2 linked regions of the Schizosaccharomyces pombe genome follow. The gene in region 1 interacts genetically with each later gene. Each region holds a gene or a part of one and is shown on either strand. Other genes may lie near its edges.

The links. Genes that interact genetically often act in the same process or in processes that back each other up.
Region 2: mutations in pef1 (region 1) and arp6 together harm fitness more than expected from each alone (negative genetic interaction), as found in Schizosaccharomyces pombe (2 studies listed by BioGRID).

What each region holds. Positions count from the first base shown.
Region 1 is NC_003421.2:683,820-690,888, forward strand, and holds pef1 (cyclin-dependent protein kinase Pho85/PhoA-like Pef1), read left to right. Parts: upstream 1-3,915; 5' UTR 3,916-3,934; coding exon 3,935-3,962; exon of another isoform or gene 3,963-4,013; coding exon 4,014-4,852; downstream 4,853-7,069. Other genes in the region: DNA polymerase epsilon Dpb3, read left to right, coding at 1,009-1,128, 1,230-1,373; pgl1 (6-phosphogluconolactonase), read left to right, coding at 2,082-2,266, 2,385-2,973; NatB N-acetyltransferase complex catalytic subunit Naa20, read left to right, coding at 5,749-5,826, 5,884-6,348.
Region 2 is NC_003421.2:1,209,939-1,214,159, forward strand, and holds arp6 (Swr1 actin-like protein Arp6), read left to right. Parts: upstream 1-2,000; 5' UTR 2,001-2,069; coding exon 2,070-2,149; exon of another isoform or gene 2,150-2,220; coding exon 2,221-2,335; exon of another isoform or gene 2,336-2,407; coding exon 2,408-3,418; 3' UTR 3,419-3,721; downstream 3,722-4,221. Other genes in the region: nmd5 (karyopherin), read left to right, coding at 1-1,151.

The DNA.
Region 1 (7,069 bases):
GAGCTCGAAAACTCGGTTTAATCTTATACACTAAGATGCCGATTTTTTATGTTATATAACTAAAAGGATGATTAAACTTGATTACGATAGTTCACGATGATAGAGTTGGATGAAGGAATCCAGTAGTCTCGATACGTGATTTTATGAGTGCATGAGTTGATGATACCTTGAACTTTTCCTTTTTTATACATTAGATTGGATTTTGTTTCAAAAATGAAATCCTGCTTTTATATTGATACATGTCACTTTGTTGGCTTACCAGTAGATGAAGTGTCGTTTGCGTTTGCAATCACTGCGGCGATTAGGCAATCAGAAGTGGATTCTTATCGGTCGTTTGGGGTTAGCTGAGTCTTTTATTTTTTGTTTCTTTTTTTAAAATGAATCTACTATTGGACGACATCTTAGCAATTTTCAGTTGATTTTTTGCAATTTAAGTTCATTTCTTACACAAAATATTCAAATTTATAGTTATGAAACGTATCCGGGATGTGTTAGTTACTCATGTCCTATTTTATGATATGAAAACGGCATAAGATATTAAAAAGAAAAGGATTCTACAAATATTCTTAGTGATTACTATTTTTCATTTTTAACGCTGCCTTGTTATATCGGCTTTTGTTTACCAAGTGTATTAACTCGATATCGAGTATATTTTGATGTATACGCATGCTATACTGATTATAAAAAATTATTAATCCACAAAGTCTTAGAAATTATGAGAACTAAATGAAATACTCTTTAAAAATAGAAAAAAAGTTAAAAATATTTATGTTTCAAGTTAAACAACAATGTAAGGTTCTAGTGGTAAAGTAAGTATGTTTATTATTAGGTCGCGACGCGAGAGTACTTCGTATTTTGACAACAACACACTAAAAGTCAGAAATCAGAAGGCTATAATTTTTTATAGCACTAGAGATTTTGGGTTATTTTATATTAGAACCTTATAGTTTAAGGGTATAATTGCTTTTTTCCAGTCCTTTAAATTGTTTCGGTCGATAGGATTGATTCATGGAGAAAACATATGGGAAAACTGTATTGCCATTGAGCAGAGTAAAGAGGATAATAAAGCAAGATGAAGACGTACACTACTGTTCTAATGCATCTGCTTTGTTAATTTCAGTAGCTACTGTATGTGTGTTGTTGATAAATCAGCTATCTGGGCGACTTAGCACCATTTTGATTGCATAAAAGAAAAAGAAAAATAAAAGCTTACCTATTTTATGATTTAGGAATTATTTGTTGAAAAGTTAGCAACAGAGGCTTATCAACTTGCCAAATTACAAAAACGTAAAGGAATACGATACAGGGACGTTGAGGACGTTGTACGTAAGGACGATCAATTTGAATTTTTATCAGATTTGTTTTCTATATAATTAAAAAGTGTGAGAACTGGAAAACGGAAGCTTAAGTGTTTCCTTTCTTGTTCAGAAACTTCCTCATGAAATGAAAGGAAACAATCATCTTGTCAGTAAAATGTGATTTAATGAATTTTATTTGAGTTTTCTTCTTCGTTTTCATGCTCTTGTGTCTTTTTATCCACAATGCGCATTTTCAAACAGCTTTATCAAACAACTACTGTAGCTATTTGGATAAAATAGAACACATGTTCTCTTAAATTGGGTTACCTGATTTTTCATGTTTCAATCATGACTAATTTGCGGCCTTTGTTAGCTACATCTATAAACAATCTTAATGATTAGGAAATGGTTAAACGTTTGAACTCGATTGAAAGATATTGAAAAGCTACCAGCGCCCATCTGTATATTCTTCATTTAATTCCTTTCTCAATATCATTTGGTTCATTTATTTAAACAAAAATGCAGAGAAGGTCGAGCTTCTTTATCTAATCCCAGCGATGCAGACGTATTGCTTGCTTCATGGTTATATTCTATACCTCCGCTACCTTGCCGTGATAATGCCGTAATCGTACATTACTATACTCGAAAACTGATTTAAGATTTGTTCTGTTCTAAATTTCCGACTACCGAATGAATTACGACACTCCACCTTGTTTCGTTAATACTACTCCATTACTAACAATTGCGCAAATACTGAAAGCAAACCAGAACCAAGTAGAAAAAATGTCGGTTTACTCATTTTCAGACGTTAGTTTAGTTGCAAAGGCACTTGGTGCATTCGTTAAAGAGAAAAGTGAAGCTTCTATTAAAAGGCATGGCGTGTTCACTTTAGCTCTTAGTGGAGGAAGTTTACCAAAGGTTTTGGCTGAAGGATTGGCTCAACAGAGAGGTATCGAGTTTTCCAAATGGTAAGTTAACAGATATTATATACTTTTGAGTTGTATGGATTCACTGTGGTTTTGTTTAGCTTTGGTTGACGTGAAACACTCTGTCTTAAGGCAATTTATGATTAACAGCTCTATTTAGGGAAGTTTTCTTTGCTGATGAAAGAATTGTTCCTTTAGATGATGAAAACTCAAATTATGCGCTCTGTAAAAAGTTGATTTTTGACAAGTTTGAAGGATTTGACCCTAAAAAAATTCATACCATCAATCCTGAGCTTTTGAAAGAAAATCCTATTGACCCTCAGAATGTTGCTGATGAATATGAAAAACAATTAGTGCATGTGTTTGCAAATAGCTCCACTGTTAAGGTCCCTGTGTTTGATTTACTGCTGTTAGGATGCGGTCCTGATGGCCATACATGTTCTCTATTCCCCGATCACGAGGTACTCCAGGAAGACGTTGCTTGGGTGGCCCCAGTCACTGATTCGCCCAAACCCCCTAAAGACCGCATCACTTTGACTTTACCGGTTGTCACACATGCTCAAGCCATTGCCTTTGTTACCACAGGTGCTGGTAAGAAGGATATTTTGCCTATTGTCATTGAGGATTTTACATCTAAACTTCCAAGTGCGCTGATCACTCGAAACAATTTGACTCGTACAAGCTGGTTTGTGGATGATGAAGCATCAGCCAATCTTGAGAGATCCTCTTTGAAGGTTTTCCCTCAATAGGCAGTTCAATTTAAGCAGGTGGCCTTTAGAATGCTTAATTGCTACATGCTTCGGATTCATTACTTGTTTCTTTAAGGTCTTTCAAGGGAAAGGTTGCAGTTCTCTTTTGTTGTTCGTGAGATTCTTTGCATAAACGCTTTAGATAATGACTTTCAAAATGCTTTCAGTCACTTCCGTGGAATGCTTGATGACCAGTTTTAACACATGTTAGTAGATTAGGAGAGAACTTGTTCCTCAAATCCTCTTTGCATTTGTTGTCTGTTTTTTATTTTAGACTAGCGTATAAAGGTTAGTCTTGTAAACAATGTGTAAGAAGCTAATGCTTTATTAAATTGTTTTATTGCTTCGTTTAGAATCATGTTTAGTTGATTGATATCACTGGCCAAACCCACACTGCAGAAATATGATGTTTTAATGAAGAAATGAATCATTGAAATATATAAACTTAAGCTATCTTGTATCATTTTTTGTTGGTGATAATGTTCTAAAATGTGTTTCATCAACAAGATAAAGTAAACCAATTGTTTTTGAATTGCAGTGATATAGTTTAGCTTCAATTCTTTTATTAAATCATTAATTCATTTTTAAAATTATGCAAAATTACGGCATTTTCTCATACTGCTTATGATAGATTTTAAGCAAAGATGGAAATTTATATCCAAAAACATGCAATTGCTTAAACTCTCCTTTATGTAAGGGTTTATTAATACTTATGTGTTTTCTACAGATGGCAACCTTCTGATTAATTATCATTAGGTTAATTTGTGATAGAAGCTGTAGTGATCTTAATTACAATAGTTTACATTATAGCAAGATGTTCGACATGACTCAATAGACTAAAAATTTTTTTTCTTAGCATATTCTTCAAAACTGTAGGTCTTAAAAACAGTTTTGTTAGCTTAACATCACCTTAAGTCGTTAGTCATCGTAGAGGAGGCACTTGATATTTCCATCGCACAACATGAACTACCAAAGGCTTGAAAAGTTAGGTAAGTATGAGTTTGAGGTCCCAAAATTTGCAATTTCATTAACTTAAGTAGGAGAGGGAACATATGCGCATGTTTATAAGGGGCAAAATCGAGTGACTGGTGAAATTGTCGCTCTCAAAGTTATTCGTATTGATGCAGATGAAGGAACACCTAGTACTGCTATCCGTGAGATTAGTCTTATGAAGGAGCTTAGGCATCCCAATATTATGTCTCTCTCAGACGTTTTGCAAACCGAAAATAAGCTTATGCTCGTTTTTGAATATATGGAAAAAGATTTGAAAAAGTACATGGACACTTATGGGAACCAAGGAGCTCTTCCACCTTCTCAAGTAAAAAATTTTACTCAACAATTACTCAAAGGGATATCTTTTTGTCACGAAAACCGAGTTCTACATCGTGATCTGAAACCTCAAAATTTGCTTATCAACAGTCGTGGTGAATTGAAATTGGCGGATTTTGGGTTAGCCCGTTCAATTGGAATTCCAGTGAATACTTTTTCAAACGAAGTGGTCACCTTATGGTATCGTGCTCCTGACGTTCTTTTGGGTTCTCGAGTATATTCAACTTCCATTGATATTTGGTCAGTTGGTTGTATCATGGCAGAAATGGCTACAGGACGTCCTCTATTTGCTGGGTCAAATAATGAGGATCAGCTACTAAAAATCTTCCGATTATTGGGAACTCCTACTGAACAATCATGGCCCGGAATTTCTTTACTTCCTGAATATAAGCCTACTTTCCCTATTTATAAAGCACAAGATCTCGCCTACCTATTTCCAACATTTGATCCTCTTGGTTTGGATTTGTTACGACGGATGCTTCGTCTACAACCTGAATTAAGGACGACCGGCCAGGATGCGCTTCAACATGCTTGGTTTTTAACCGCATAGGCTGTAAATTAACATCAAAAAGTTTAACCAAATTACGATTTTATTTATTCATTTCAGTTTCCTATTGAAATCATTAATTTTTTTTTTGGAAAGAATGCATTTCACCTAGGGAAAGAGCACAATATTTTTGGACGTTCAAATTTCTTCGCAACTGTTTTAGCCCAAGTAGCTATCCCTATTGATCTTTTTTAAACGAGGTTTAGAGGTAAATATTTGGTTATTATTTTGAGAGGATTTGAAGCTGTCGAATATATTTTTAGCCAAGAATTAAACGGCGTTTTATTTTCTACGATTAAAATATCGTCGCTGATGACATTCAAGTCGTAAATGAAATACTTAAAGAATTGAATGATCCGCATTGCGTCTGACATTTTTATGAAGGAGCAAAAGGATAATATTCAAAAAGCAATGCGGGTTTTTAGTATACTGATAATAATTTGCGGATTTCAAGCAATTATCCGCAATGCACATGAAAAACAATCTTTTTTCACTTATTTTTATTAGTGGATTAATGGCTTCCTTCCCTATTATTTAACTGCATGAAGGGATTCTCTATTAATGTTCTCTTTAACCATTCGACATTTTATGTGGTTTCTGTCGTTCATTATTCTTTTTATTTACTTTCATCTATACTCCATCTTTTCAGTTTTGAGGCATCAATGGTAGGAGGTGACTAAATTTCTTTGAGTTTCGTTTAGGAAGAAGGTTCAATTTGTAAACATGAAATAATAATTGTGTCTTTTACAATTTCTTTTGAGTTTTTCTACTCGCTTGGCCCAGCAATCTATTGTTTAAGGAGATATACGGATTTGGCTTATCGTATTTTTACGACATCTTCTACCTCGCCAAATCTTTTAGTTTTACCCATACTGCTAGAATTTACATTACATGAAAAAATGACTGATACGCGAAAATTCAAAGCTACTGATTTATTTTCATTTAACAATATAAATTTAGATCCTCTAACGGAGACCGTAAGTTACCATCTACCGTACTTAAAGCGGACTTTCATTAACTCGAACAACTTTTAGTTCAATATTTCATTTTATCTCAGTTATTTGAACAAATGGCCTAGCTTGTGTGTTGTACAAGAGTCTGACCTATCTGATCCAACCCTTATGGGTTATATTATGGGGAAATCAGAAGGAACCGGTAAAGAGTGGCATACTCATGTTACCGCCATTACAGTAGCGCCAAATTCCCGTCGTTTAGGCCTTGCTAGAACGATGATGGACTACTTAGAAACTGTAGGAAATTCTGAAAACGCTTTTTTTGTTGACCTGTTTGTGCGTGCCAGCAATGCACTTGCAATTGACTTTTACAAAGGATTGGGGTATTCGGTTTATAGACGAGTTATTGGGTACTATAGTAATCCACATGGAAAGGATGAGGATTCATTTGATATGCGGAAACCACTTTCGCGAGATGTTAATAGAGAAAGCATTCGAGAGAATGGGGAAAATTTCAAATGCAGCCCAGCTGATGTTTCATTTTAGTTCACTCTCTTTTTACAAATCTATTAACTAGTGCAAAGGAAGAAGATTTTTTTTTATATTAGGTAAATGGTATAGTATGTACATCATATTAATGAAAATCAAAGTTCAGAAACGACTAATATTTGCTATGCTTTAAGACCTCGGTCCTTTTCCTTGCTTACATATTGATATTGTAAGTATTTGAAGTTTTTGATTAATGATTATGCAACTCTTTGGAACATTTTGATAATTTATCAATAAAATAATGTATCACTACACAATGGTTGAAATTTGCGTTCAGTTTCCTTTAGATAAATAGCAAATCGTCTACTAGTTACTTTATTTCTCTAATGTGAAATGGCAAACTAAATAACTTCTATTTATGTTAGCAATAAATCAATGAATGACTATACTACCCACTTCCATTCAGTCCTCTATACTTGCAAAATGAAAGACAAAACTATGTAAATACATGTAAAACATATCTTTACCAAAAATCGTAGCTACACGATCATCTGACTTAACAACTTTGCAAAAACAATTCACCACAGAAATATTTTTTTTAAACAAGTAGTAAGTAATTGCCAGCAATAACTTTTAACGTGAATTATTTTTTTAAAAGTAAAACTATCTGAAAAAAAATTTACATCATGAGCTTACAATATCAAAAGTTAAATAAAGAAATAAGAAAATATTCGAAGATTAAAAAGACGCCAGTTCAACGAAAAGAGAAGAGGCCTTT
Region 2 (4,221 bases), 520 kb from region 1:
TTGAAGCAATCTTACTTCCAATGATTAATTTTGTATTAGATAACAACATTTTTGACGTGTATGCAGAGTTGTTTGAAATTATCGATGGTTGCACTTTTGCTTCTAAGGAGATATCCCCTATTATGTGGGGCGTGTATGAAAAGCTTCAAAAGGTGTTGAAAGAGTCTGGCATTGAGTTTGTAGAGGAGGCAACTCCTGCCTTAAGTAACTTTATCACGTATGGTGGAAAGGAATTTGCTTCCCGTCCTGATTATATCGCCGTTATGGTTGATATTATCATGCAAGTTTTTAATAGCGAGCACCTGGCCGTCAATGACCGTGTTTCGGCTTGTAAACTAACCGAACTTTTAATGCTTAATTATCGTGGCCTTTTGGATCAATATGTGCCTGCGTTTATTGAGGTTGCTGGTAATCTCTTACTTGTAACTGAAAAGCCAACTTCTCAAACATACCGCGTATTTTTGTTGGAGGTTATAATCAATGCATTATATTATAACCCATCGATGTCTCTTGGGGTACTTGAAATGCATCAGTGGACTTTACCATTCTTTGCGTTATGGTTTGAAAATATACCTTCGTTTACTCGTGTGCATGATAAAAAGTTGAGTTTGGTAGCTATTTTATCGGTAATTTCACTGGGAGCTCAACAAGTTGCTGTTGCTATCCAAGACTCTTGGGGTAATATAATGAAAGTCATGATAACTCTTTTAAATACACTACCTGAAGCATTAGCTGCTCGCGCGGAATTAGAAAAAGAGTATGACGGTGAAACATTTAATTTATCTGGCTCTGGTTGGAATGATGGCATCGATTGGGAAGCCGATGATGATGAGGGTGTCGATGACTTTGCCGTCGAATATGGGGGACCTGATTTGGGTGGAGAAATCTCGGCTGATGTGGTTGACGATTTTGACGAATTTGAGCATTTCCAAGGAAATTACTTGTTGGACGAGGATCCTCTTTTCCATACTTTGTTAGATCAAGTTGATCCATTTTCACTTTTCCAAGAGTTTATGGTTCATTTAAAGGACAACAGCCCTGTCACATTACAAGATCTTGTCAAAAATTTGGAAGCATCCGAGCAGCAATCCTTACAGAGATTGGTAACTGAAAAACCCTCTACCCTTGCTGTCGCTTCCGATAAAACATGAGCCTGTTTGGCGCTCTAAGCCTGTCCAATTTTGGTAATAAAATATAAAAATATAAAACAAGCATTTTCTACACAGTGGTAATAAGCCAAACTGACATATTTGAACGGCTCTTTTTAAATGGGAAATCAAACTCTACGGGTTTGTAAAAATAATTTCTTCAATGAGATACGACCCGGAATTATGGCTTGGGAAAAATGGATGGAGGGTTTGTCTAAAGGGAAGGCTAAGAAAATTATTGTTGTATCGGTTTACAGTTCGGTGAAAACAAACGCAGAGGTGTGTTTCTTTTATAAGAATTTTGGAACGCCAATTGATTAAATGAAATTTAAAATCATAATATACCAGTTAATAAATATGAGAAGTTTTAAAATCGATTAATACTAGTTCATTTGCTTTTACTTTATGCGAATTGACAAACGCAAGTTGATGAGAAAATGAAATAGAAATATATTTTTCTTGAGGAAATAAGCATAAAGTTAAGTATCCACGATTTAGTAGTATAGGGAAAGTCGGTGTTTATGAATGGTATATTAGATGTACGTTGAATTAAGCAGCTAACTAAATTGATAACGGCTAGTTTAGGGGTTGGATAATATGATAAACGGCTTTTACAAACTAAATTTGATAGACAGCCCCCCATTAACGATGTTGTTATATTGATAAAGCTAAGATTTGCAAGATTTATCTTTAAAGTTATTTTAAAAAGATATCCTTCAAATTTATGATATTATTAAAAATATCATAAATATCTTTAAGAGCCAGCGTTATTATACTATTGCTTCAAACTGTAATGATATTGTTGTTATAGCACAACGCTATCATATAACAGCATTCCAAAGCCGTAACAACAGTACATTTAATCGCGGTTTTTGGGTGAAGTTAAGACCTAAGATATAGGAATACATTTTTATTAATAATATGGGACTACCCCCTAAAACTATTGTTTTAGACAATGGGGCATACCATATAAAAGCTGGATTTGCAGGTGGAAAAGTTGTGTAAGAAGAAGTGCATCACGTCAATAAATTTCATGTATCTTTTACTTTTTTCAGCTAACGATAGTTTTTAGTGAAATTCCGAATTGTTTGACGAGATCAAAAGATGGAAACAGATTATTTTTGGGGAATGAATTGGCCAACTGTAACGACTTTACAACTTTACAATTTCGCAGGGCGCATGAAAAGGTACAGCATTTATGAGGGAGTATTATTTACGAACAAAATAAATACAAAGATTATGTTTACTAATACTAGTAGGGGTATTTGGTCCATTGGAGCACAGAAACAGCCGTATGGGACTTGGTAATGCGCAATGTAGGTGTGATGGAACCTAGCATGGCAGACTATTCTTTACTGCTTACACAGCCCGTATTTACAATGCCTTCCATAGAACACAATACTATACAACTCGTGTTTGAGGAATTCCAATTCGATGCTTACCTCCCTTGCACCCCAGCTGAGCTAATTCCTTGGGATCATGGAAGTTTCACAATGAATCAAGAAGATGCGTATACTGGTCAACATGGAGAATGCGTTTTGGTAATTGACTCTGGATATAGCTTTACACACATAATTCCTGTGATTGATTTCTCTGTTCAAGAACAAGCGGTAAAGCGAGTTGATGTGGGAGGGAAATTACTTACGAATTATTTAAAAGAAGTCATCTCATACCGGAAGTACAATATGATGGAAGAAACATACATTGTTAATGAAATTAAAGAGTCCGTTTGTTATGTGTCTCAAAACTTCAAGGAGGACATGGAGATATGTCACGAAAAACCACGGTCAAAATTGGAAATTTGTTATGCTTTGCCCGATTACAGCACTGGAAAACATGGATATATTGTTAGAGATATTAATCAAAAAATAGAGCAACAAGTTTTGAATCTTTCAAATGAGAGATTCATGATACCAGAATTATTATTTTCCCCATCTGATATCGAAATACGTGAGGCTGGGATTCCAGAGGCGGTCATGCAAAGTGTCACCCACTTTCCTGAAAATATACAGGCAATGTTGCTTGAAAATGTTGTTACAATAGGAGGAAACTGTAAATTTCCCGGATTTCATAAAAGACTATCATCTGAATTACGGTCGCTGGCACCAGCTAATTGGGAAGTTAAAGTTTTTGAACCTTCAGATCCTATTTGCTTTCCATGGAAAAAGGCATCTCATATGCCGTTGGAGCACTGGAATGCGAATAAAATAACTCGTTCTGAGTACTCAGAACATGGAGCAAACATAATGACACGAAAAAGGAGAATATAATAGATCACCATTTTAAAACTCAATAATGTGGGTTAAATTTCTATCTTCACAAAATTCTCAAGGCGAGCTGATAATTCGCATCTTAAGAAATTGGTTTATTACATTAAGGCTACAGCAATATAAAACGAAAAATATGCATGCATTAAGAATAAAATCTTTTTATATTAATTAACGAATCATTCTATCTCTTGATCAACCACTAAAACAACAGCTAAATAACTATATCTTTATTATTGTCGCCAGGATAATTCATACCTAAAAAGCGTTAGCGAAATGAAAGATATTATAAAAAAGATAGGAATGAAAATCAGTATACAAGTATAAAAATTTAACCACATAGTTGTGTCTTCAAGACTAATCGATTTGTAAAGCATCATATGTAACATTCTATCTCTTCAAGTGTTTATACTTACATATTATTAATGTGCCTGAAAAACAAGATTGAAAAAAAAGAAAAATTTCAGCACTTCTTCACTACTGTTTCAAGTGCATTTTATATGTACAGTGCAGTTTCAGGTTGACAGTATAAGAGTTAAAGCAACCTTGAGTTAGAGCAGTCACGGTATACTACTTTAATTAGAATGTAGCGCGTTGCGTTGCAATGTAGTCGTGTCGCGTCTGTTTACATTTTGGATAGAAAGAGCTTTTCGTGAAATTTTGTTGCTTCTGTTGGATAAATTGTTCTTTTTCTCAAGTTAATCATATAATTCAGTAAAGGAAAACTGTGTAATAAGAAGAATCGAGATCCCAAATTATTTCTGTTGAGCCTTGTTCATGGGCTACATATATTTTCCCTCACATTT